7 linked regions of the Canis lupus familiaris genome follow. The protein of the gene in region 1 purifies or fractionates together with the protein of each later gene. This does not show direct contact. Links are inferred from orthologs where the notes say so. Each region holds a gene or a part of one and is shown on either strand. Other genes may lie near its edges.

Evidence for each region.
Region 2: the proteins of ZZZ3 (region 1) and KAT14 purify together in Homo sapiens (affinity purification with mass spectrometry; 4 studies listed by BioGRID and IntAct, with this or other methods). This does not show direct contact. The link is inferred for Canis lupus familiaris from reciprocal best matches to the Homo sapiens genes ZZZ3 and KAT14.
Region 3: the proteins of ZZZ3 (region 1) and SGF29 purify together in Homo sapiens (affinity purification with mass spectrometry; 7 studies listed by BioGRID and IntAct, counting the BioPlex papers as one, with this or other methods). This does not show direct contact. The link is inferred for Canis lupus familiaris from reciprocal best matches to the Homo sapiens genes ZZZ3 and SGF29.
Region 4: the proteins of ZZZ3 (region 1) and WDR5 purify together in Homo sapiens (affinity purification with mass spectrometry; 5 studies listed by BioGRID and IntAct, counting the BioPlex papers as one, with this or other methods). This does not show direct contact. The link is inferred for Canis lupus familiaris from reciprocal best matches to the Homo sapiens genes ZZZ3 and WDR5.
Region 5: the proteins of ZZZ3 (region 1) and YEATS2 purify together in Homo sapiens (affinity purification with mass spectrometry; 3 studies listed by BioGRID, with this or other methods). This does not show direct contact. The link is inferred for Canis lupus familiaris from reciprocal best matches to the Homo sapiens genes ZZZ3 and YEATS2.
Region 6: the proteins of ZZZ3 (region 1) and TADA3 purify together in Homo sapiens (affinity purification with mass spectrometry; 4 studies listed by BioGRID and IntAct, counting the BioPlex papers as one, with this or other methods). This does not show direct contact. The link is inferred for Canis lupus familiaris from reciprocal best matches to the Homo sapiens genes ZZZ3 and TADA3.
Region 7: the proteins of ZZZ3 (region 1) and TADA2A purify together in Homo sapiens (affinity purification with mass spectrometry; 4 studies listed by BioGRID and IntAct, with this or other methods). This does not show direct contact. The link is inferred for Canis lupus familiaris from reciprocal best matches to the Homo sapiens genes ZZZ3 and TADA2A.

Annotation. Positions count from the first base shown.
Region 1 is NC_049227.1:69,739,425-69,743,569, forward strand, and holds the start of ZZZ3 (ZZ-type zinc finger-containing protein 3), read left to right. Parts: upstream 1-1,345; 5' UTR 1,346-1,480; intron 1,481-1,557; 5' UTR 1,558-1,622; intron 1,623-3,070; 5' UTR 3,071-3,202; coding exon of another isoform or gene 3,203-3,225; intron 3,226-4,145.
Region 2 is NC_049245.1:5,323,672-5,325,918, reverse strand, and holds the end of KAT14 (cysteine-rich protein 2-binding protein), read left to right. Parts: intron 1-1,039; coding exon 1,040-1,213; 3' UTR 1,214-1,747; downstream 1,748-2,247. UniProt on the Homo sapiens protein: Component of the ATAC complex, a complex with histone acetyltransferase activity on histones H3 and H4. May function as a scaffold for the ATAC complex to promote ATAC complex stability. Has also weak histone acetyltransferase activity toward histone H4.
Region 3 is NC_049227.1:18,345,519-18,348,540, reverse strand, and holds the end of SGF29 (SAGA-associated factor 29), read left to right. Parts: intron 1-744; coding exon 745-874; intron 875-951; coding exon 952-1,098; intron 1,099-1,292; coding exon 1,293-1,328; intron 1,329-1,414; coding exon 1,415-1,577; intron 1,578-2,319; coding exon 2,320-2,436; 3' UTR 2,437-2,522; downstream 2,523-3,022. Other genes in the region: SULT1A1 (sulfotransferase 1A1), read right to left, coding at 2,773-2,885, 3,011-3,022. UniProt on the Homo sapiens protein: Chromatin reader component of some histone acetyltransferase (HAT) SAGA-type complexes like the TFTC-HAT, ATAC or STAGA complexes.
Region 4 is NC_049230.1:50,406,160-50,410,221, forward strand, and holds the start of WDR5 (WD repeat-containing protein 5), read left to right. Parts: upstream 1-1,262; 5' UTR 1,263-1,324; intron 1,325-1,995; 5' UTR 1,996-2,083; intron 2,084-2,089; exon of another isoform or gene 2,090-2,236; intron 2,237-4,062.
Region 5 is NC_049255.1:16,824,727-16,828,822, forward strand, and holds the start of YEATS2 (YEATS domain-containing protein 2), read left to right. Parts: upstream 1-1,296; 5' UTR 1,297-1,446; intron 1,447-4,096. UniProt on the Homo sapiens protein: Chromatin reader component of the ATAC complex, a complex with histone acetyltransferase activity on histones H3 and H4. YEATS2 specifically recognizes and binds histone H3 crotonylated at 'Lys-27' (H3K27cr).
Region 6 is NC_049241.1:8,526,278-8,529,777, forward strand, and holds part of TADA3 (transcriptional adapter 3), read left to right. Parts: coding exon 1-27; intron 28-146; coding exon 147-252; intron 253-1,551; coding exon 1,552-1,693; intron 1,694-1,783; coding exon 1,784-1,887; intron 1,888-3,113; coding exon 3,114-3,223; intron 3,224-3,500. UniProt on the Homo sapiens protein: Functions as a component of the PCAF complex. The PCAF complex is capable of efficiently acetylating histones in a nucleosomal context. The PCAF complex could be considered as the human version of the yeast SAGA complex.
Region 7 is NC_049230.1:37,195,765-37,199,264, reverse strand, and holds part of TADA2A (transcriptional adapter 2-alpha), read right to left. Parts: intron 2,113-3,500; coding exon 2,002-2,112; intron 513-2,001; coding exon 441-512; intron 1-440. UniProt on the Homo sapiens protein: Component of the ATAC complex, a complex with histone acetyltransferase activity on histones H3 and H4. Required for the function of some acidic activation domains, which activate transcription from a distant site. Binds double-stranded DNA.

The sequences.
Region 1 (4,145 bases):
ATTATCACTAATGCTTAGTGTTAAGTTTTATGGCATTGTTTAACATTTGTAAAACCAATGAATAGACTTAAGTGCTTGATGGTAGAGATCAGTGTTTCTTAAACACTATTTACTCTTTTTTTTAATTGAAACATAATTGACATAACATTATATTAGTTTCTACTCTATTAATAATAAAACTTTTCACTAGTTAGATCTGGCAGGTTGACAACCCCAGTATCAAATTTTATACACAAACAGGTGTAAGGCAATCAATATTCTTTTTACCTTCCTTCTTACCTTCCTTCTTCCTTCTTTCCTTCCTTCATTTCTTTCAAGAGACAGTGCAAATAGGGGGAGAGGAGAAGAAGAATCCCAAGCAGGCTCCATGCCCAGCTTGAGTCCCAGTTTGGGACTTGATCTCATGACTCTAAGGTCATGACCCGATCCAAAATCAAGAGTTGGACACCTAACCAGCTGAGCCACCCAGGCGAACTGGCTATCTGCATTTTCTGTGTAGATTTTTGCCTTTTCTTTTTATTATGTAGGAATTTGGAATGGCATGCAGTGATAAATCATTTTAAAATGCCATTCGTAGCTTTCTGTGATACAGATGAATGAGGTTTTTTGTAGCTCATGGTTTTCTAGTAAGTTGGTTGAAATTACTTAAAAGTTTTAGATCATGTGCTTTTTTGTCATGATATTAAGCACATTGATGTTTCTCAGAGTTGTAATTTATAACCACATCATCATGTTTTTTCACCTTACTTTTAGGGAACATTTGGATAACTATCTCTTGATTTATTACATCACATTTATTTTCTATTTACTTCCAAAATAATATTCACAAATTATTCTAGAGGGATAATCTAAACAAGACAAAATTATTACTTTAAAAGACCTGGCATATTTTAAAGTCACATTTAAGGAGAAAGTTGTGATCTGTTTTACTGCATTTTTAACCATTATAGATTTATTCCCTAGTATTGTAAAACACACACAAAATACTTTTCTATTAATGCATGAGTAATTATAGGCTTCTGGAAAATGAGTTATATCTACATTGGTAGTCAGAAAACGTATCTAAGGAGCTGTCAAATTTGTAAGAATCTTAATTTAGAATGAAACATTAAAATATGTGGATACTCTGAGAAGCATTTGTAAGAGTGTTAGCAAATTATCTTAGTCTATTGAAGATTGCACTTATTTTGCAGCCTAATATAAGGAATTATTTGTACAGTTTAGAAAATACAGTGTGAAAAAAAAATACAGTGTGTTATCAAAGTGTTTAGAAATAGCACTTTTGTCCACAAGTCTGTAAACAGTAACACATCTATAGTGACTATATTGTGGTTTCCCTTCACAGATATCAAGTTGTGCTAGTACATCCATATAAATAATTAATACCTGAAGTCTCAATGTAACATGGACATTAACAGTGATGACAGATAAATACAGACGCTTGGGAATCAAATACTAGGCGAAAAACACTTTTAAAAAGGTAAGAAAAATGTAATCTTAATTAAGGCCAAGCGGGCTTTAGTTAGTAGAAGTAATTGACTAAAGTTTCTTTTTCAGTGTATCAGGCTTTTTAAGAAACATCTGGGTGATCCTGTCTTTCTTAATACTGGTAGAACTCAGCTGTAAGTATCAGTTCTTCTGTGAAAATGACAGTTGCAGATAGACTTGCCTTGTAACTATCATAATGAGTGAGGTTCCTATAGTAAACCCAATCCACAATGGGTAGAAGGTGGACTGGAACTGGAATTAAGTGCTAGAATGGAATGTCCATGTATACTCAGAGACATATCTTAAACTGTAGATCCTCTGCCTCTGATGTTTGCCACTCCCACCACACACTGTGGAATGTAATGTTTTGCCATGAAAGGCTTTCAAGGTTGGGTATAGAGGAGTTGGCACTTGTTGGAGTTTTTGTTGTAAGAGGAGTGCATTTTCAAGTTAAGGGTTACTTTTTATAGGATCATGTTTTCACTGTACACACTCCTCATGTTAATTTAGAATATTTCTTAATGTATTAAATGATTTTATTTAGACAATTTTCCTACCTTGTGGTTTTCAAGAGTTTACAGGCCATATTTGGGAGAGGTTGCATCTGTAGATACTAGATATTAGTACTGATCTCCTAGCTGACTAAAACTGTAATCTGTTTACTTTTACTAGGCAGTAACTCTAGTTTACAAGGTTTGTTAACTGTATCATTTTTAAAATTGTAATCCTTCACTGTGACAATAGTGTCACTTTTAAAATACCTTCTTTCATTTTTATAGTAAAGTGACAATATGCATCATATAAACACATCACTCGTCTTTTTCTGGTGTTCCTCCTTGTTTCCAAATGGGCAGTCATAATAACCATTTAGCCAGATTCTCTGAAAAGGATATCATAATGCATTGTTATAAAATAAAACTCTTAATTAACCAGACTGTCCAAGAAATGGGAGTATAATTAGATTAATTAAAATACCTGGCCAACTGAGTCTTAAAGCTAAAAATCCTTATTCCTTTTGTCCTAGTTGAAAATCCATACACCAAAAATAATAGAAATTTCTCTTTGTAATAAAATCTTAATGCTAGTAGTCATCAAAGTTATCATATAGATATTTGAAGACTTAGTTGATTCTTTGGTGTGCATGACTTAAATTATTTTTGTTGGTCAGTCCCTAGTTTTGAATACTTGAAGGCCAAAGTTTGGGTAGGGCTCTAGAATATAAGAGTAAGAGATAATAAATTCTATATGAGAAATTTTATTAAAGGCAGTCTTTGGGTCACCGCAAAAGAATATTGCCCACAGACTCTAGAGAAGAATGGAGTGACATTTGGATGCAAACTAATAATGAGTTGTTATGAGGATTCAGTATATTTCAAGCTCTTTTTGCTTTGTTTTTGTTGGTTTTTAAAAATCTGTTTCCAGTTTCTTGGTATCTCTGAGGCTACAGAGTTGCTAAGAAATATCAAAGATGTTACTATGAATAGATATTCTGTTATCTGCTGTTTCCTCTTATAGAAGGGGTAAGTCTATTAGCATAAGTTAATTTGTTTCTTTAATTTTTTTTTATTATTTTATTTTAAAGAAAGGAATTTTGGGAGGTTCTAGTATTCTCCGTGGCTGAAGCTGAGAGTCTGAAACCCTGATGCTTAAGCTCTATTCTAGATCATAGCTCCAACTCCTTCAGGATATAAGGAAAAGAGATAATATTTCCACAATGATAGATCTTTGGTTGTACAGGTAAGTTATTTAGTTTTGCAGTAGTGAAGACAACTGTAGTTTGATATTTTTTTGTGGGTGGGGGGTAACTTGTATTTATATTCTTTATTCTGCATGGTATATTGTGCAGTCTGCCTGGCAATTCATATGAGTATGGAGCAATAGGGAATGGGTTAGCAATGATATATTTTCCCACTCTTCCCAACAGGGGTATAAATGAAATGATTAATGATTAAGTATGTTGGAATCTCTAGAGCATTATACCTATCTTTGACATTTTAGGTATTTTTGATTGAAGGGGGCATTATGAAATTCCTCGACTTTTGTTTCTCCTCAGTTTTGTTTTTTTTTTTTAAGTATGTATTCATTCAGCTTTCTGTCTTTGTATCTATGTTAATCTATCATATATCTGTTTCTCTTAATGGGGAAGAAAGAAGAGATCCCTTTAAGGCAGTATGTATTAGAATTTAGCATCAAAACACAAATATTAAGAATTGCATAAGTGGGTCCCCATGTTTCACTCTCCTACTTTTAACCTTATAGTGGTAATTGCTCAACTGAGGAAATTTGTCTTAAAAGGATTGTGTGACAAGGATAGTCTGAACCATTACTAAGCAACTCATGTTTATGTTCTAGACAGAAGAAACATATTGGTAACACTTTCAGTTGCTCTTGCTCTTTTTTTTGCCTTTTACTTTGGTTTGATATGGTATCATGACCAGTTTCCTAAAAATTGTTCAATTAATAAAACTAAATATTATGATAATAAATATCAACTAGAATGTTGATGTTAATGGAGGATTGCCAGTCTCTCAATTCCCAAAATAAACCATACTCCTTTGGTAATTATAGTGGAGCAAAAAGTTATAGGCATTATCTTTGAAAAATCTTTCTGATTTTTGAGGTGATAGCTAAGAGTAGTTATTCATTAGATGGACCAT
Region 2 (2,247 bases), on another chromosome or scaffold:
AATGCACTCATAGCAGTCCCACTGGGCGCACAATGTAAGAGAAGCAGAGAAAAGAGTGCAGTTGTCTACCTGAGAGTCCCTTACTTAAATCTATGCCTGGGGGAACTGTGGGTTACCAAATCTCAAGGACCCTGTCAACCTCAGTACTTCAGTGCCTTCCTCATCAGAAAGCTAGGTCTTGGGATCCCTGGGTGGCGCAGCGGTTTAGCGCCTGCCTTTGGCCCAGGGCACGATCCTGGAGACCCGGGATCGAATCCCACGTCGGGCTCCTGGTGCATGGAGCCTGCTCCTCCCTCTGCCTGTGTCTCTGCCTCTCTCTCTCTCTCTCTCTGTGTGTGACTATCATAAATAAATTAAAAATTTAAAAAAAAAAAAAAAGAAAGCTAGGTCTTAGTTTATATTTATATGACTTTGAGTTCTTTCTTCTGTGTAGCTAATTAAAGAATCTTAAGAACTTGCCTCATATTAATAGAATGAAGATTACTCCAGTAATGTTAGTTTGGGATGGATGGGAGGGGGCCTGTGGGATTCCAAAGGTCCATACCAAGTCTTCAGCTTTCATAACTAATTAAAAGTCCTAATACCTTGTATCCAGCCTCATACTTAGCATCTTTTCTGGTGGGTCTAGGAAGGGCATTTTTACAAGTTTGAGTACAAGCTAACATCGGTTTTAGAAAGCAGAACTTCTCGTCTTGTTCTCTCCTTCAGGATTGTCAGTGCTAGGTATTGGTATTTGGAAGTGTAATTGAATTATAAATAAAATAATCTGTTGACAATAAACTATCCCTCTGGGCCCTTTGTCCCAGAGAGCAAAAACACGCAGCACACTATCCTTTCCTTAGTCTCGAACACTTCAGTGAGTGTGTGGCTGGGCCACAGACTGGGGCTCCCAGCTGTCCCCAGCGCTGTGGCTCCCAGCTGCCGTCCCGGCTGTCCCCGGTTGTCATAACCACCTACCTACACTTCACAGACTCCCTCACCTACTCATCTCCCTCAGGCTCTTTCCTTCTCACCGGGTACTTTTCCACTCTTTTGGCAGACCTGCATGGGCAAGGATGTGACCCTTCACGTCTCAGCAAGCAACCCCGCTATGCTGCTCTACCAGAAGTTTGGATTCAAGACTGAAGAATACGTCTTAGATTTCTATGATAAATATTACCCGTTGGAGAGTACAGAGTGTAAACACGCATTCTTCCTGAGGCTCCGGCGCTGAGGTGAATGCAGCGCTCCAGAGACGCAGGTGCTGTTCCAGGTGGCTCCTCATTCCGGCCCACAGGCAGGTGCTCCTGTCTCCCAGGGCCCTAATCTCTGCCATCAGACGGCCATTCAGATCTCTCACCCAAGGCTAGATGGGTGGTGGGGCAGTGGAATCAAGAAGCGAGCAGCCCTTCAGCAAACCTGTCCCTTCTGCACAGGCCTTGGCCCCTGTCTCAGGACTCCACAGTTCACTGGAACTGAACAATGCTGTCTATCCGACAGCTTGCAAGAACAAAGGAGTATCTAAGCTGATACCCTCCTCGAGAGAATCTCTTCATTGAAAGGATGAGGAAGTGTGGTAGCCATGAACGATTGATGCTCTAGCCGGTCAGGGCCGATGGGAGAGTTAGCGCACGAGGGGAGGCCAGCACTCTCCCAGCCATGAGTGAGCTGTTGTTGAACCCAAGAGGACTTCTCTAGGGCACTGAGATTCTGCTGTCTTTCACTGACTTTGGCCACAGTCCAAATAAACAGAGTATGTGTGTCCACATGTGTGTCACCTGTTCTGTTACATCTCCTGTCAGGAGCTTTGGCCGGAGGGTGGAGACCCATCCTTCCCATGTCTGGGAAGTTGGTTTGGGCTTGGAGTGTCTGAGCTGCCTGCCAGTGAGACTGTGCTCCTGGCTGGAGGTGTGGGTGGTGGAAGTAGAGCCAGCTGGGGACAGAGCCTGTGTGGTCTGCAGGACCAGGCTCTTTGGTTTATAGAGAGTGTTAGAGATGGACTGTCAGGTGGGGTTTTTTGGATCGAGCAGGAGCTTTTCCAAAAGTATCAGATGTTCTCAAAAATCTTTCCTTGTGACTATCTATGGCCAGAGCTTCAATCTAATTAAGAGCAATGATTCTTAACTTATGGGGATGCGGATCCCTGTGAGAATCCAAAGGAAGCCTAATAGTCTCTAGAAGACTGTGCGTGCACAGTTAGAATCTGCATCGGAGATCTGACCACAGTCAGATCCTTTGTTCTAGGGGCTGCACTCAGAGCCAGCTCAA
Region 3 (3,022 bases), about 51 Mb from region 1:
TGGGAGGGGTTGGAGGTCATTACCAGCGCTAAGAGGCAGGGGCTCTCAGTGACCCTCTACAGACTTGGAAGATTGTGCCCCGTCCCCTAAGGCTTCTCTCCCCCTTGTACCTGAGGCAGTAGCCTCCTTCCTGCTACCCTCCCCCACTCACACTTCTTGCTGCGGTAAGCAACCTGCTGCTTTGTGAGAACCATCCTTCAGATGGGAGTTTACAGAGGGTGTTGGCTTCCAAATCTGAACTTTTAGACTGCTGTGGCTCTCCCACCTCTCTTACCCTTTCAGTGAACCCACAGTAGGCAGGCTGCTTGCCTATCAAAACGTCACACTGCCAGTTGGCTTTGTGCAACTTTGAGTGTGTTGAGCCATGCCTGAGAAGGTCAGGAGACTGTCTACATTCTTTTTTTTATTGAATGACATCTACTCAGTAGAGGACTGACCTAACTGTACAGAGAACTTTATGAAATTTTCACTAACCAAGCAAACAGATGTGACCAGTACCTCAGAACCCTTCTTTTGCCCTCTTTGGTTCCTTCCCTGCAAGGGGATCTTGAGAGCAACATCTACCAGATCTGTGAGAGCAGATTGGGCCTCTGACGGCAAGCATCTGCTGGGGGGCCCTTGGTGGTAATTAAGGAGGTGGGCCCCAGGCTGAGCTCCACTGATGGCTCCGTGCACCGGTACAAACGAGGGTCCGGGGCAGGAGCCCCATCTCTGGGGCCTCAGGGGCGCGCTTCCTTCCTGCAGCGGCCAAGATCGCGGGCCTGTACAATGACTCGGAGCCCCCCCGGAAGACCATGCGCAGGGGGGTGCTGATGACGCTGCTGCAGCAGTCGGCCATGACCCTGCCCTTGTGGATCGGGAAACCTGGTGACAAGTGAGGGCAGGCCCGGGGTCAAGGGGCGGAGCTGACAGGAGGGAGGGGCTGGGACTAACCTCTCAGTTCATCCTCAGGCCCCCACCCCTCTGTGGGGCCATTCCAGCCTCTGGGGACTACGTGGCCAAACCTGGAGACAAGGTGGCTGCCCGGGTCAAGGCCGTGGATGGGGATGAGCAGTGGATCCTGGCTGAGGTGGTCAGTTACAGCCACGCCACCAACAAGTAAGTGGACACCCGGCCCTCCGTGGACTCTCCCATCTGTAGGCTGGGAGAAGAGCCCCCCACCCCACTCCAGGGTCCCTGTGGGGACAGGGATGATGTGTGACTCCAGCTCCCTGGGATGCTTCCCCTCCTCATCGCTCTCCGGTTCGGACCGTGCATCTCCCTGCATCCTCTGTTTTCTCTTTGTTCTCCAGGTATGAGGTAGATGACATTGATGAAGAAGGCAAAGAGTGAGTGTTGGGCAGGGAGGGACCATGGAAGCTGCTGGGAAGGAGCCTCCCACCTGGCTGTGGGTTGATCTAAGCCCCCCTTCCAGGAGACATACCCTGAGCCGGCGGCGCATCATCCCTCTGCCCCAGTGGAAAGCCAACCCAGAGACAGACCCCGAAGCCTTATTTCAGAAGGAGCAGCTCGTGCTGGCCCTGTATCCTCAGACCACCTGCTTCTACCGTGCCCTGATCCACACGCCCCCACAACGGGTAAGGTAACCCCTGCAGGGGAGACAGACCATGACACCAGGACTGGGCTGACCAGATGGTCTTGGGGTCACCTTCCACTTTTTCCCCTCCTGTCCTCATCTGACAGCCCCTCTGAGCTAAGAGAGTCCTGCAAGTTTCTCCCTCTCTCCTGCTTACTCTGCCCCATAGGGGCCCTCAAGCCCTGTCCCCTAAGGCAGTGCCAGCTAATCCTCAGAGTCCTAGCAAACCCCGAGTGGAATGGAACCAGTATATCCTCTAGTCTCACCCCACTTTTGCACTGAGACGAGCAGCCCTGAGGTGGGAAGCACTGTGCCCAGGACCTGTCTTCCCTGCCTTGACTCATCCACCACTGGCCTTTCTTCATCTGAGGCCATGCTCCCTTGTGCTGGTGACCCAACACCTGATGGCAGCTTCAAGGCTGCTCTGCTTGCTTCCTCCAGGATCCCTGCCTGCTGCCCTCGGTGTTTTCCCTGATCTCCTTCTTAGAGGGTCCCCAAAAGGCACCAGACTCTCCATGTAGAATCCCCCCAACGTAGACCGCGAATCTTCCTCCTCCCTGCTCTTTGTCCCCTGGCACTTTGTTGCCGAGAATAGGGTTGTGTCATAGCAGGAACTAAATTCTGAGTGAAGATGGGGACAGGAGAGGCTGGGAGCCCGTGTACCAGAGGTTTCTGTCAGTCTGGGCTGGGGGGCCTTGCCTGGGGGTCTCTGACTAGCCCCTCCTGTCTGCCCCCTGCCGCAGCCCCAGGATGACTATTCAGTCCTGTTTGAAGACACCTCCTATGCAGATGGTTACTCCCCTCCCCTCAATGTGGCCCAGAGGTACGTGGTGGCTTGTAAGGAGCCCAAGAAAAAGTGAAGTGGGCTGGCAGACTCAAGATCTCCTGCCACTCCCCCAGGGGAATGCAACAAAAGATTGTGGCAAATAAATATTGTTCCCCTTTGCCCACGTCTCCTCGGTTTTGTTTTTCCAGGCCCTTCTGCCCCTCCCCATACCAGGGCAGGTTGGGGAATTGGAGAGCTGGAGGGAGGGAAGATAGCTTCATTTGATCCCAGGGGGAATTCCTTCCAGCTCAGGTTTGCTTTTTGCTTGCATTAAAGGCTCTCAGTGTAATACCAATGGAATTTTATTTTTGAAGCTGGGGGCTGGCTGTGTCAGAGCACGGGGCCTTTGGGTGCCTCCTGGGGGCACTGCTCACAGCTGTGTGCGGAAGCTGAGGCCACAACCCTCCATCTTCTTGGCATAGTCGGCATCAAAGCGCTCATTCTGGGCCACAGTGAAGGTGGTCTTCCAGTCCCCCGAGATGCCTGTGGGTGGAGGAGAAGGTGGCTGCAGGTCCCGGCTGCAGAGCAGGCCCCAGATGGCCCAGGCCAACTCTTGCCTCCGTTTTCATGTTTGCCTCCCCAGATGGCCATCCTGCATGGGTACTCACCTTTCCTCATGA
Region 4 (4,062 bases), on another chromosome or scaffold:
GAGTGCCCACATGGGCTCAGATTCCAGCCCAGGTGGCCAGGTGGAGGGTCCTTCTTCATCTTGTGCTGGTTTGTTAACTTCTGTAACAAAGGTGGCCCAAGGTGACTAGGCTCCCAGGAACAGAGATCCACACAGCGCCACGCCAGGGCCAGAGACTTGGCGCCACACGATGCTCCTTGGGAGTGGCCTGCAGACCAGCAGCCTGTCTCAGCTTGTGTCCTGGACAACCACACACCTTGTTCCCTGGGCATTTCCTTTTTACATGATGTCCTCTTGTTAGCACAGGTTCCTGCCACATATTTGGTGTTTCCGTCCTTAATTGGGAAATAAGACTGCAGGTGATGCTGCCTGGGATGGGGGTTGGGGCCTGGGAGCTGAAGACTGCCTCCAGGACTGTAAGGCCCGCGTGTCGTTGTCGTGTCCCCCCCCCCCCCCCCAACGGGATGAGAACACACAGGACTTGGGCCAGAAGGCGGGCTGCAGGCTCTCCGTTTGCACGAGCCCTCTCCTCTGGGGTTCCCCTTCCTCGTGTGTACCCGGCCATGACAAACTGTCCTGGAGCCCACCTTGCAGACAGCAGAGCGGCCTGCGCCTGGTGACTGCCGGTAGGACGGCCCTGCACTGTCCCTGGCCGGGGCTCTCTGCCGGTGGCGGTGGCGGTGGCCGGCAGACCGCGCAGGAGAGCTGGGGGTGGGGGGGGGGGGGCGAAGCGCAGGGGAGCCGGCACCCTCAACCTTGCTGGCTCCGGTCCTGGCTTCCGGGGCGGGCATGCGCGGAGACACCAGCGCCGCCGGCTGCGGTGCACACGGGCTGCGGCGGTCAGCTGCGCGCCACGGCGGAGAGGGGCAGCGATCCCCGAGGGAGGGTCTCCCACGAACCCTCGGGCCCTGCCTCCCCTGCACGCCCGGGGGCGAGCCCTGCTGCTTTCTGGAGGCGCCGCTGCAGGCCGCGTTCAGGAGGTGAACTTTCGAGGGGCACACTGGCACTTTCCTGGAGGTATCATCATACTTCCGTTTTTAGAAAGTGCACAAGAAGGACCTGCACCAGCCAACTTTGAGGTTACCCCTTTGCACGCCGTCCCTTTAAGGCGTTGGGCCTGCCCCAGGCCTTGTGCCCCTCGCCGCTCCCCGTAGTGCCCCTCCGAGAGGCCGGCTTTGTGCACTCGCCCCGCCCCGCCGCCGCCCCGCCCCCCGCGCACGCGCACGCGCACTCCCCCCCCCCCCCCCCCCCCCCGCCGCGCCGCCTCGTCCAGCTCGGCCCGGCTCCCGCCCAGGCGGCGGCGACGCGACGCCCCGAGCGCCCGCCCCGCCGCCGCGGCCGGCAGGTAAGCGGGGCCCGCTGGGCCAGAGACCGCACACGGGGTGCGGGCGGGGGCCGACGCCGGCTGCCCCCCGGCCCGCCCCGCCGCCGCACGTGTTCCGGCGGGCCGGGCCCAGGTCCCGGGTCCCGGGTCCCGGGTCCCAGGTCCCAGGTCCCGGCCCAGCCCCGCCGGGGCCCTCCCGGTGCCGCGCCCGCGCCCCCACCGCCTCCCTTCCGGTGCCCACCCCGCGGCCCTCGCCCTCGCCCGCGCCCGGGCCCCGCGGCGACCCCTCCGCCTCCTCGCGGCCAGCCCCTCCCGAGCGTCCCCCGCGACCGCGCTGCGGCCCCCCAGCGGCCCGGTGACAGCGCGCGGGCCGGGCCGGGGACCTGCTGCTGCAGCCGGCGCGCGTCTCCCCGAGCTCTCCGCCGCTGCTCCGAAGAAAGAGCCCAGACCCGGCGGCGGGGTCCTGGCCGGGCGCGCGGACCGCGGCGCCCCTCTCTGCGGAAACGCCCCCCGCCGCGCCCTGCTGCTGACCCCCAGCCCGGGCGGCCGGGCCCAGGTGCGGCTCGCCCTCAGCAGCCGGGGACCCCGCTCCGCAGCGCCCCGCGCCGCCTGAGTGTGCTGTGCCACAGCCATTTTGGGTGACGGCAGAGACACTCCCTGTGGCCTTCTCATGCCGCTTTCTGCCCACCCAGGTCCCTTACCCGGCGCTTCGGCACTGGCAGCTGCTGTGCCACACGCTGCCTCCGAGGTCGGCCCGGCCCCCTCCCAGAAGGCAGATAGGTAAGCTGGGCTGGAAGCTCCGCGCGGAACAAACAGGCGGGGAGAGCGGCACACCCCGCCCCCTTGGTCCGGCCACCTGCGGGTCACCGGGTTACCTGCCTGTGGGCCAGTCTCGGGTGGAGTCCGGGGATCTGCATTTTACAAGCAGTGCAGGTGAGCACCCCGGTTTGGGATGGTCAGGCTCACCTGGGTGAAAGGCCTGTGAGGGCCCAGAGGGGTCAGGTGGCGTGTGCTCTGGAGGCCGGTCCCTAAGCAGCTGCCCCGTTGCTTTCCCTGAGCATCGCGGACAATGCAAGGCTTTCCCTCCTCTTGAATGGAAACTGGGGGCATGGAGTCAAGAAATTGCACATTAATGTTTTGCTAGCCCAAGGGATTGGCAGATTGGATTTGATGGAGCTGGGAGGGGTTCGCACACCTCTTCTGTGAGATTAGCTGTGGTATTCTCTAGTCCTCACCTTGAGGGCAGGTAGTTTGCTGGGAGTCACACTCCACCTCCCGGCGGGTCTCAATTTTTATGTTAAAAGGAGCAGCTCTGGGTTCCCTGAGCTGCCCAGGTCACCCCCAGAGGAAGTCTCTTCTGTTCCCACTGCTGTTTCTCCCCCACACCTCTCCTAGCTCTTGCTGATACCTTCTTCAGATACTAGGTTTTGTGAGTCAGTCTTTCCAGCTGTCTTCCATAGCTTCCCCCCGCCCCCCACTTGTCCATCCACCTAGAGCAAGGCAGCACTCGGATTAATTGGCATGACCGGGTTGCACTAAATTTACTCACAAACCAGCTAGTATTTGCTGAGCACCAGCTTTGTGCCAGCATTTTTGTATCTGGGCGTGATTATGTGACCTGCTCCAGGACTTGGCCTTTGGGTGCAGCAGGATCCATCCTTGGGCATAAGCCCAAGTCCTTGCTATATACAGGTAGCCAGTGGGACCACATCTGTGCTCTGCACAAGTATGTTGCATTGTAATTTCCCTTTTGGATAAAGACTTTAAGACGTGGTCTTTTTTTTGATGGACTTCCATTTTGCCTTGGTGTGACAAGGAGTCGTGCAAGCTTTCAGTTTTAAGTGCCAAGCTAGAATTTTACACCGTGTACACCATTAGATTAACAGTGGTGCAAGCTTCCAGGAATTGGATGACCAGTGATGTCTGCAAGAACACCATGGTGGTTCCCCCATTTCAGAGTCACCAGGTGTGCTTCTAGGAGACGCATCTAGGATCTGGAATCTGTTCCTGGGCTAGAGCAAATGAGTCGCTTGCTGTACAGCTTGGGTAGCTCCCATTGTCACGCTGAAACCTAATTGAGCTGCGGTCTTTCCCCTCCTGCAGCGAGAGCTTGCTTGCAGCCGATCTGTGTACACTTCAGGCTTCAGCAGCAGACAGGGCTGGCTCTGGTTTGCACTTCTCAGCTGTGTCTTGTAGTCGCCTCACGAGGGACAGAGCGCCTTTTGAGCTGCCAGGGTTCTGGAGGCGGCCTTGTGTCTACACCAGACGACAGGGAAGCCCCCTGGGAGATGCAGACCGCTGTGGGGCGGGGGGTGGGGGGTGGGGGGGTGTCTGCTCTTGTATATTTTCAAACGTGGTAGTTAAGCACTGTTGCATCACTTGTGAGGATTTGGACGAGTTCCCAAATTTCTACACCCTGAAGCTCAGTCTCCTGTAATTTGGGTTGGTTTAGGGTTGTTTTTTTTTTTTTTGTTACGTTTCAAGGGCTCTTTGAAGAAAATTGCATTTTGTTTGCCTGGCCTGAGCTGCATTCCTACCAGGAGGATAACAGTAGGGAGCACCCTTGAAGGTGGGGCCTTGGATTACATGGACAAAAGGGGCCTGGGCAGCCTGTCTTAGCATCTGAAGAGTATTTAGTGCAGACTTAGCTCCACAGATAGGTTCCTCATTTTGGAATAGTGTGTCTGCTCAGGGCCCAGCAAGGTGGGTGAAGGTTTTTCACCCTTTTTGCTGGGAATTAATTTTTAAAATATGGCTTG
Region 5 (4,096 bases), on another chromosome or scaffold:
TGGCCTTACTATTCATTTATTCAACAAATGTGTATTTTAAAAATATTTATTTATTTGAGAGGGAGCACGCACTGCACACATGTGCTTGTCTGAGGGGGAGGGGCAGAGGAAGATGAGGGTGGAGTGGGGGTGGGGGGGATGGAGAGAGAGAGAATCTCAAGCTGACTCTCTGATGAGCAGAGCCTGAGGAGGGTCTCTATCCCACCACCCTGAGATCAGGACCTTGGTAGAAACCAAGAGTTGGAGGCTCAACCGGCTGTGCTAGGCAGGTGCCCCTAACAAATACTTTTTCTTTTTATTTTTTTAAGATTTTATTTGACAGAGAGAGAGCATAAGCACAGGGAGTGGCAGGCAGAAGGAGGCAGAGGGAGAAGCAGGTTTCCTGCTGAGCAGGGAGTGGACTCCATCCCAGGACTCTGGGATCATGACCTGAGCCTAGGGCAGATGCTCAACCCACTGAGCCACCTAGGCACCCTTCAACAAATACTTTTTGCATGCATGCTAAATTCTTTAGAACAATTTATTAAATTTAAGTACATCCAAAAAATTGATGACATAAATAGTATAAAAAATTATAAGTGAACTCTCTCTAAACCTACTACTCAGCTCCAGGGGTAAATTTTTACACAGTGAGTTGAACAGATTGAAGGAAGACAGAGACAGATCCCTGGAGAGCTGCAGCAGTCTTGGGCAGAGAGATGATGAGGCCTCAGGCAGGATGTTACAGGAAGAAAGAAAGGGAAAGGTGGGCTCAAAAGATACTTAGGATTTGATGGATGGTCACTCACTAGTTGTATAAACTAGTGAAGTCCCAACCTTTCCGAGCCTCAATTTCTGCATCTGCATAATAGGTCAGTGATAACTATTGTTATCCGTATCCCTAGCACCTAACACAAAGCTTGGCACAAGATGATAAACACACACAAATCATTACTACTGTTTTAGACCTGTGGGAGGTTCATCTACGCTGGGAGAATGAATATCGGTCTGTCAGACCGGAGGCTGGAACTCGCCATCTTCTAGGGAGGAATATGATAAATGACGGTGCCTCTGCCAGAACGGGCATCCAGGCTCCCCAGGCAGTGCGGCAGCACCAGTCCCCATCAGAGTCCGGCCGCCGCCAACCCCAGCTCCAGCCCTGCGCGGGGCCCAGCCCCCGCGGGAGCCCCGGCCCCGCCCACATCCCTGCAAGCCCCGCCCCCGGGCCGCGCGCGCGCCGCCGCCGCCGCCGCGCACGCGCGCCTCGCCCCGCCCCTGGTGCTGACGTGCGAGGCCGAGAGGGACGGACGGGCGGGCTCCGCCGAGCCGTGTGCTTCCGCGGGCTCCGGGGTCGCTGGGGCCTCGTGGCGGGGCGGCTCCGCGGGGCTTCGCCCGCTCCCGCACCTCCCTCGTGCCCTCTCGCCGCGCCCGGCGGGCCCTGCGCTTCGGCCGGAGACCCGGGAGAGGGTGAGTGTTGGCGGGAGCGGGGTCGGGCCGGCCGGGCGCGCGCTCCGCTCTCCCGGGCATTGTCTGGGCGGGGGCGGCGCGGGCACGTGCGCTCCCCTCCCCCACCCTGCCCGCCGCGCGGCCCCGGCGGGCGGGGGAGGGGGAGGGAGCCGGCGACTGCGGGCCGCCGAGCACCGCGGGGAGCGGGCCGGGTGAGCGTGCCGGTCGGGGGCGTCTCCGGAGCGGGAGCCTGCAGCTGCGTGTGTGGGGTCCTTCCTCGGGGCTCAGCGCTCTCCGAGGGCGGCGGGGTCAGGGACCCCCGGGGCTGGAGCTCTCGGCCTGTTGGGCTCGGTGGCCTGCGGTGGAGACGGAGACGAGATTTGGCTCCAGCACCGGCAAGTTGTGGGTTTACCGACAGGCACCGCGGAGTCTGCTTCCAACCTGTCGCCATCCTTACGGTCCTCCCTCGCGAAGGATGAGTGGGATTTAGAAAGGTTGGAGGATTTTCCAGGCATACGCTCCAGTTAGAAGCACCAGAGGCGTGACACAGTGCGGGGTGACAGCGGAAAGCTTGGGAAAGTGAGGACTTGGAGGAAAGGCTGGTTTGGTGGGTTGTGGCCGGATTGCAAAAGACAATGAATGAGGTTTATATCATAACCTTGTCTTCTATCGTGAGTGTAATCAGGGTAAAGAATAGAAAGTAGAGGAGGAAAATATCACCAAATAACCCCACGGCCCTGACACCTCTTTCTTAGTGTTCTGGATGTGTTTGCTGGTATTTTCATCTGAGCTTGTAACAGTTGCAATTAGAGTTTACTTACAATTTTCCATTCTCTTTTCTCCTTATGGTGTTAAAACGAGATGTAATATACAGTATTCGGCAGTATCCTTTATTCTTAATAAGCAAATAGCAAGTATTCATCATAGAAAAATGAAGAAATATAGACAAGCAAAATGAGGAAGAGTATTCATAGTTCTGCTGCCTCGAGATATTGCGTATTTTTGGTTCTGTATATTCTTTCAAAGATAGTGGGGCAGATAATGCCCTGGTTAGGAATTTAGTTTTCATACGAATCCTTTGAAGGTTTTAAGAAGGCAGGTAGCATAATCTGACTGCTCTGTAGAGGAAGAGGGTGAATATGGGAGCGGGGAGATCAGTTAGGATGCTGTTTGCAGTACCTTGAACTAGGTCCGTGGCAGCGAGATGAAGAGTACAGAGATTTAAACATTATTTTGGTTGTAGAATGAACAAGACTTGTGAGTGGGTTAGTGGGAAAATAGGAGACTTCTTTACTTTTTTTTTTTTTAATGTGTTTTTAAGGATTTGTTTATTTGAGAGAGAAGGATTGCTTGAGTCCTAGAGAGCAGGAGGAGGGGGCAGGGGTGGGGAGGAGAGAGAGAGAGAGAATCTCCAGTAGACACTCTGCTGAGCGCGGAGCTGAAGTGGGGCTCTATCTTTTGGCCCTGAGATCATGACTTGAACTGTCAAGAGTCGAATGTTTAACATACTCGGTCACCCAAGCACCCTTTTATATATTTTTTAAAATTAAGTTAAACTCTCTTCCCATCCTGGGGCTTGAACTCAGGTCTCTGAGATCAAGAGTTGCATCCTCTACTTACTGAGCTAATCAGATGCCCCAAGAATTCTCTCTCTTTTTTTTTTTTTGGTAGTTGTTTTGAGCAGCTATGGGTAGATAGTGACATTTACTGAGAGGGAGAAGAATGGAAGAGAAACTTGAAGGGGGAAAAATCACGAGTTCTGTTTTGGGTATATTAAATGTGAGATGTATATCAGTTATGAAGTTGGTATATTGAGGAAATTGGATGTGCAGGTTTAGAGCTCATGGAAGAGAGAGCTAGGAGCTGTTAGATAAAACTTTGGAATTCATTACATAGATGATATTGAAAGGTATGGGACTGCATGAGATCACCAAGGGAAAGAATATAGATAGAGAAGTGAAAATTGACACTTGATCGCTAATACTTCGAGCTGCAGTATGGGAAGAAGATTGAACATAGAATGGAAGAAACAGCCAATGAGGTAGGGAAAAAAGGCAGAAGACCAAAAGGTGTCATGGAAGCCAGGAAAAATAAGTTCAGAGAGGATAGAGGATGTCCATCCCTGACTTTGAGATGTTTAGTGAGATGCTCAATTGGATTTGGAGGTTGTTGGTTTTGTTATTGGTATTATTATTTTTAAGATTAAAAAATTTTTAGTGATCTCTACACCCATCGTGGGGCTTGAACTTAAAACCTGGAGATCAAGAGTCTCATGTGCCACCAGCTGAACCAGCCAGGCACCTCTGGTCATTGTTATTATTATCCAGAGTTCTAGAAGTGGGAGATGGAAACGGGATTGGAATAATTAATTGATTGGGGCTTGAGGAAGGGAAGATAATGAGTGTGGATTAGAAAAACCTGGGCCTTTTTCGAGATGCCTTATTTCCATCTGCTCCCAAACTAAATTTGGTAGGTGAAAAATGGTGTCTTGTTTAATTTTTCATTCATTGATTACTAGAGTGTTTGAACATTTTTTTGTTTGTTTGTTTGAACATTTTTTAACATATATTTGCCATTGGTGATTTTCTGTATCCTGTGTATATCTTTTTGTGTTTATCACTTTTGGGAATTGATTATCAAGAGTCCTTTTAGATCTTGAAAACATGTAGTT
Region 6 (3,500 bases), on another chromosome or scaffold:
GATCCCCAAGAATGATGCCCCCAACAGGTTCTGGGCCAGAGAGCATAGAAGGGCCTTGGGATTCAGACAGTAGAGGCTGTGGAGGGGCCTAGAGCTGAGGATGGTGGGATAGGAGGTACCCATTCAGGATCTGCTTCTCCCTGCAGGTTCTGGGCCTCTGTAGAGCCCTACTGTGCTGATATCACCAGTGAGGAAGTACGCACACTAGAGGAACTACTGAAACCCCCAGAAGATGAGGCTGAACATTACAAGGTAGAAACCCTGGGCCTCAGTAGACGGGGGTGAGTGAGAGGGCTCAGAGGTGCCTCGGAATCACAGATCCCAAAGTCATGTACCATCTTCCTTCCCCTGCTCTACCCCTACTTTGCTTAACCCACCCAGACACCTAGGCTCTAATTCTCGGCTCTCTTCTTACATTGCCTCCTCTACCCCATCCGGATGATCACCACATACATCCTAAAGCATCTACTTCAGTGACACTGTCCTTTGTCCCAACATCTCTATCACCTCTGCTTTGATTCAAGCCCTCATTAGTTTTCACCCAAATAGTCTCTTAATACTTCTCTGCCTCCAGAGGAACTTTCTGTTTTCTTTCTTTAATATATTAATTTTATTGTGATGTAAATAAAACAGGTTCCATTAAAGAAAATGTACAAAATACAGAAAACCGTCAGGGAGAACTCCAATAGGTCAGCTACTGTGATCGGATGTGACCCAACCCTGCTCCCACGCATCCCCTGGCTCCCATAACACACAAGGTGGAGTCTAACACCTCGGTCCTTGGTGACTCAGCCCCATGGCCCCCTGCAGCTTCCTCAGCCATGCCCCCTTGTCACTGTTGGATTTACTACCCCACCAAGCACCTTGCCCTCACCCAGGCCCACCAAGGCTCCTTACTAACCCCTGGGCCTCTACACATGCTCTTTTTCCCTTACCAAACTAACTCATCCTTTAAAGCACTGATCCCTTGTTATCTCCACCAAACACTTTTGCAGACTCCCCCCAGAAAGTTTCTCTGTCATGTGCCACAACACCTTGACCTACTTCTAGCACTTGAGTTCTTTGAATTTTTTAAAAAATGTATTTGAAATAAAAATTATTTATTTATTAAAAATAAAAATTATATAGGTAGTAGTAAATTTAGGTAATAACAAATGAGAACTTCCTCTCTTGACACTAAGGCTCCTGGTTCTCTCTAGGGACAACAGCTGTGACCTGAGATGGTCCACATAGGTATACCATTCTGCACCTGTATCTTGGAGATTATTACGTACTGGCTCCCATGTGTGTCTTAGTTGGTTATGTACCTGTCTCCCTTGCTAGATTGTGAGCATAGAGATTTTTTTTTTTTTTTTGAGATTTTTATCTCCTTCATTTCTTCCCACATACACAAGGCTCAGACTTCAGCCCTGGGGGTAGGTCCTTGGGAGACAGCAAAGGGATGGATGATGAGCCTATTAGCAGTGCCCAAGTGCACAGAGATCCCCCACTCACCCTGGGCATGGCTTGCCAGTGCTTACTCGTTTTCGGCTGGGTGGCATCTCCCCACAGATCCCACCCCTGGGGAAGCACTACTCCCAACGCTGGGCGCAGGAGGACCTGCTGGAGGAACAGAAGGATGGGGCCCGAGCAGCAGCCGTGGCTGACAAGAAGAAAGGCCTTATGGGGCCACTGACTGAACTGGACACTAAAGGTAGGCCCCTCACCTCCCTGCCCACCCCAGACCAGGACCTGAGTTTGCAGAACTCAGCCCACCTGTCTACTGTTTCTCTGCCCACTTCAGATGTGGATGCCCTGCTGAAGAAGTCTGAGGCCCAGCATGAGCAGCCTGAAGATGGGTGCCCCTTTGGTGCTCTGACGCAGCGCCTCCTACAGGCCCTGGTGGAGGTGAGCACCCTAATTCAAAACAAGGATTATGTTTACTTACTGTTTTAATGTTTTATTTTGTGTTGAAGTATATCATGCATTTAGAAAGGTAATGTAGATCTTAAAAATGTATAGACTCATAAATTTTCACACATGAGCACACTTGTATACCTGGTCTCCTGATCACAAAATAAAGCATTGCCAGTATCCTGGAGCCCTTCTCATGCCTCTCCCAGACTCTAACCTCACCTAAAAGTAGCCACTACACCACAGTTACTTTTGTCAGCCTTAACCAGTATGCTGGTTAAGGGCTGAGCCCCGTGCAAGGGCTTTCCACACATCCTCTTGTTGGAGGCAAGGACAGTGGCTAGCCCCGTGTTGCATACCAGAAGATTGAAGCTCAGAAAAGGGAACTGTTTGCCTGAGGTTGTACAGCCAATAAGTAGAAGCCAGGCTCAAACCCCAGGTGCAGAGTCCCTTTCTTTATGCCTTCTTTCTTTTTGTCTGGCCTTAGGCACATCTTTTACCTCTTTAAGCCTTGGATTTCCCCCGGCTCCAACACAGTAGTGTTTTTCTCTCTCATGGAATAGTCTGAGCTATGTTCCAAGTTGGCTGAGGTGGAAGTGAGGGAAGATCTCAGCCCCACACCATCACACAAGGACCCCGGCTATGGGGGCTTTGCCACCCTAAACATGCACTCTGCACAAGGGTCATTCTAGGTGTGATTGCTGCTCCAAGCCCACAGAAAAAGAGCAAGGAAGAATGTGAAGGAAGGTTTATGGGCCATGACTGACTGTGGCTCTTATCTCTTCTGATCACTTTTCACTGGAGAGAATTGGTCACGTGACCACATCTGACTACAAGGGAAGCTGGGAAGTATAGTGTAGCTGGGCAGCCATAAGCCCCACTACAGAAAGGTGAGAATGGCTTTTGGACAGCCAGCAGCTCATGCCGCAGCAAACTTAGCACAGTGCCTGGTCAATGCAAAAGCTTAGCTCTTCTCTTTACTGTTGTTGAGTGTTATCATTGCTCTTCTGTGCTCCCTTCTTTTGGTATCAGTACAAAAACGGGATTTCTACAATGATCAGAGCTTTCTGGTATCAGTTTGAGAAGGCTTCCCAGAGGATGGGAACAATAAAAGAATATTTCTGTGAAGACTGAAGACTCTAACTGCAGGTTAGAGAGGAACAAGAAGATGGAAATGCTGTAACTCTTACTCCCTCCATCCCATTCCTGTGGTCTTCTAGGAAAATATCATTTCCCCTATGGAGGACTCTCCTATTCCCGACATGTCTGGGAAGGAATCAGGAGCGGATGGGGCAAGCACCTCTCCCCGTAATCAGAACAAGCCCTTCAGGTGAGTGACAACTCTGTCCATATCCTACTATCTGGCCCCTGCCTCTATTGACTTCGTCACATCCCAGCATGGGGAGGTCTTCATTAAAAGAGTTGAGGGCATTTTGATGAAGCCGCATAAAAGTTTCATTTTTTAAATATATATATATATTTTTAGTATTTATTTATTCATAAGAGACACAGAGAGAGGCAGAGACATAAGCAGAGAGAGAAGCAGGCTCCCTACAGGGAGCCCTGATACAGGACTCAATCCCAGGACCCCAGGATCATGACCTGAG
Region 7 (3,500 bases), on another chromosome or scaffold:
GGGATTGAGTCCCACATCGGGTTTCCTGCATGGAGCCTGCTTCTCCCTCTGCCTGTGTCTCTGCCTCTCTCTCTCTCTCTGAATAAAAAAATAAATAAATCTTAAAAAAAAAATACAAATGATCAGACCATGCATCACAAAATTTTAAAAGACTGAGACTAAAAATTAGAACACAAAATCCTTTTTTTGGGGGGGGCACAGCAGATTCTCAAATCTAAAGGAGCACCTCTCTTTTGTCATCACTCTTATTTTACCTGAGATGATCCATATAATGGAATTTATAAGAATTAAACAGATGAGTCTTTACCGGAAAGACCACTCATTCCCAAAAGGGAAAGCTTGTTTTAAAAAAACCCACATCACTTCAAACAGAGACTTCCTCTTTGTGTTTAGAAGAGACTTGCCCCCCAAACAATGTGTAGCTTAATAAGCACACTTACTACAAAAATTGGTGATGCCTGCTGTCCTGTATTCCTGGAGCCTCTTGATTTCCCTTCGGAGTTCAAATTCCACTGTTTATCCCAAAAAGAATGAAGGAGAAAAATTGGAAAAACAAAATCATCATCAGTAAGCACTGGTGCTGTTGAGTATTTTCAGTAATACTGCCTTATACAAAAGACAGGGCAATTCCATGTGAGGAATCCTATTATGTTAGTGACATCTCATTAGAAATTTTACTCAAGAACTGAGAAAAATCTACTCTAGCCATCTTTTCGCTGCCATCTCCAACTGGAAAAAGCAGCTGGAATTGTCTCCCAGAAAACATACAGTAAACTGGCTGAGTTCATTTAGCTACAGAAGTAACAAATATAATTTTCTTAAACAACTAAGTTTCCCTGCTCTATTTATCCTCTAATAACAGTTTTATCCACGTAACCAAATTCTTTTATAAAACCTGTCTCTGCTATTACTTGATGTGGTCCTTTTGCAAGCAAAAGACAAAAGCTCTGTGCTCAAGTCCTAGATAGTTTCTTGACAGCTTTTCTCCTATAGGAACAAAAGAGCATTGTTTTCCATAGACCAAAGATTTCTTCCTCTGAGTGCACAGATCAGGTTGCAACTACTTGGGTTATTATGTGATAGAACATTCAAATTTGAGTGCTTTGAAACAGAGGATGAAGGAAGAGCCTGGACAATCCATTGGGTGTAGTTCTTTAGAGTGACACATAAACCAGGGATGGCACAAACTGGGGCAGGAAGTAAAAGATCAGTCACCTAGTACAAATCACAAAAAGAATGCCAACCAAACAGGGTGTTTGATGAGGACAACCGACCTGGCTCAGATAAATGCCTACAATGCCATGCAAGAAATATTTGCATGATGAGAACAGGACAAGAGCCCTGGTAAAGCATTTTCCCCAGGACTAAATTTGAGGGTCAAATACACAAATCTTGTGATGAAAAGGTATAGACTAAGCCACTTAGTCCAAATTATTTTAAAATGTAAGCCTTATGGCCTTAACAAACTTTAATTTTTTATAGTGAAAAATCAAATGAATTCTCTCAGACAGGCAAAAAAAAAAATGGCAGAAGCACTGGGGTGCCTGGCTGGCTGAGTCAGTTGAGCATGGACTCTTGATTTCAAGCCCCAAAGCCTGGGATTTGCTTCAAAATAATCCAGTTGAGGGTGAGAGAAGAGGGGGTGATAAAAATGAAAGTGGATTGGTCATGTATTAATTGCGGAGCTGGGTGATAGTTACATGGGGGTTCATTACACTATTATCTCTACCTTTGTATATATTTGAAAACTTCCATAATAAAAAGTGAGGGGAGAAACTACTAAACTACTGCTTAGCTGAGAAAAAGGAAAGCTACTGGGCTTTTTAACTCCTTCTCTTCCACCCCTGAAGTCCCAAATTTAGTTCAAGGTAATAAAGGGGAAGAGAAGACAAAAATATCCATTTATTTATTTATACAACTTCACCTAAAACATACCATTTTGTCTATTTATATCAACACACACAAACACAAATATTTGCACAAGGGTTAAAAAGCACCTACGTGCATGGCTTTCAATGAACTTGTCGTGCTCCACTGGCCCCACTATCCTTGCAAATCGCCTCATTGTTTCGTAAAGGTCTTGGACTTCCTTGGGATACCGTCGTTCCATTACTACAGAAAAAATAAAACACGACCATGCCATAGAAAAAATAAAAATCTCTACATTCTCATTAAATGGAAGGACAGACACTATTCCTAACCTGACTAATTTACCCATGACAGGAAGCAAACAGGAAAGCCAACAATGCAAAACACTAATCATAAAGATAACAGCATCACAGTGACTATCACATAGGGATATTGTTATTCCTGGAGAACTGAAGATCATCTGCATTACTGAACAGCCTGTGACCTCCACACCTCAGTCTCTTAATTTGTACAGGGGCAGGGACTGCTGGTAGTAATGGGAAAGACAAAGGTAGATCATGCATTTTTAGGAACAATGTTGGGCAAAATTTCTGGTATTAACCTCTGCAGGAAAACAAGGGAAATGCAGACACAATAATCCATCTAGAAGAGGCAGACTAGCCTATAAAAAATGTGTGATCTCTTCCATATCTACTAGAAATCTCCTTACCAACACATCCTCAAGTGAGACATTTATTTCTTCACTCTCTATAAGGGTCGTTTTGCCTTCCTCTAAGTACCACAACTTAATTTACTACTAATGAAATTATATTTTCATAACTATCATCCAAGTAAATGGTCATATATACAGGGTAGCCACAGTCAGTAACTCTGAGGATCACTAATGACCACATCCCCCCACCCCACTTTTTTTTAAGATTTTATTTGTTTATTCATAAGAGAGAGAGAGAGGCAGGCAGACGGAGAAGCAGGCTCCATGCAGGGAGCCCAATGTGGGACTTGATCCTGGGTCTCCAGGATTAGGCCCTGGACTGAAGGTGGCGCTAAACTGCTGAGCCACCTGGGCTGCCCTAATGACCACATTCCTAATAAAAAGTACTATCAGCAAAGAAGATGGGGAGTAAAACCTACCAACAATAAGTGGTAGGTTGGAGTAGCCAGGAACTGCTACTTGGTCATTTCATTCAGATGAACTAAGCTGAAACTTATTAGGTGAGTTAATCAGTAACTAAGCTAGTTCTGCTCACTTCTAGAGTATAGATACATGCTTTCCATTATGATAGTTATTTAAATTAAGTCCTCTTGGGCAGCCCAGGTGGCTCAAGTAGTTTAGCACTGCCTTTGGCCCAGGGCCTGATCCTGGAGACCCAGAATCGAGTCCCATGTCAGGCTCCTTGCATGGTGCCTGCTTCTTCCTCTGCCTGTGTCTCTGCTTCTCTCTCTCCTCTCTGTGTATTCTCAGAAATAAATAAAAACAATCTTTAATAAATAAATAAATAAATAAAGTCCTTTTTTCAGCTGAATCTCTTCCCTTGAAAGAGAGATTCTTATCCACAAAGTTCAGGTGCTGATTTCATGGGCAGCCACTGATTATTTTCACTACCAAAAAACCCCCCACAACCAAAAGCAAA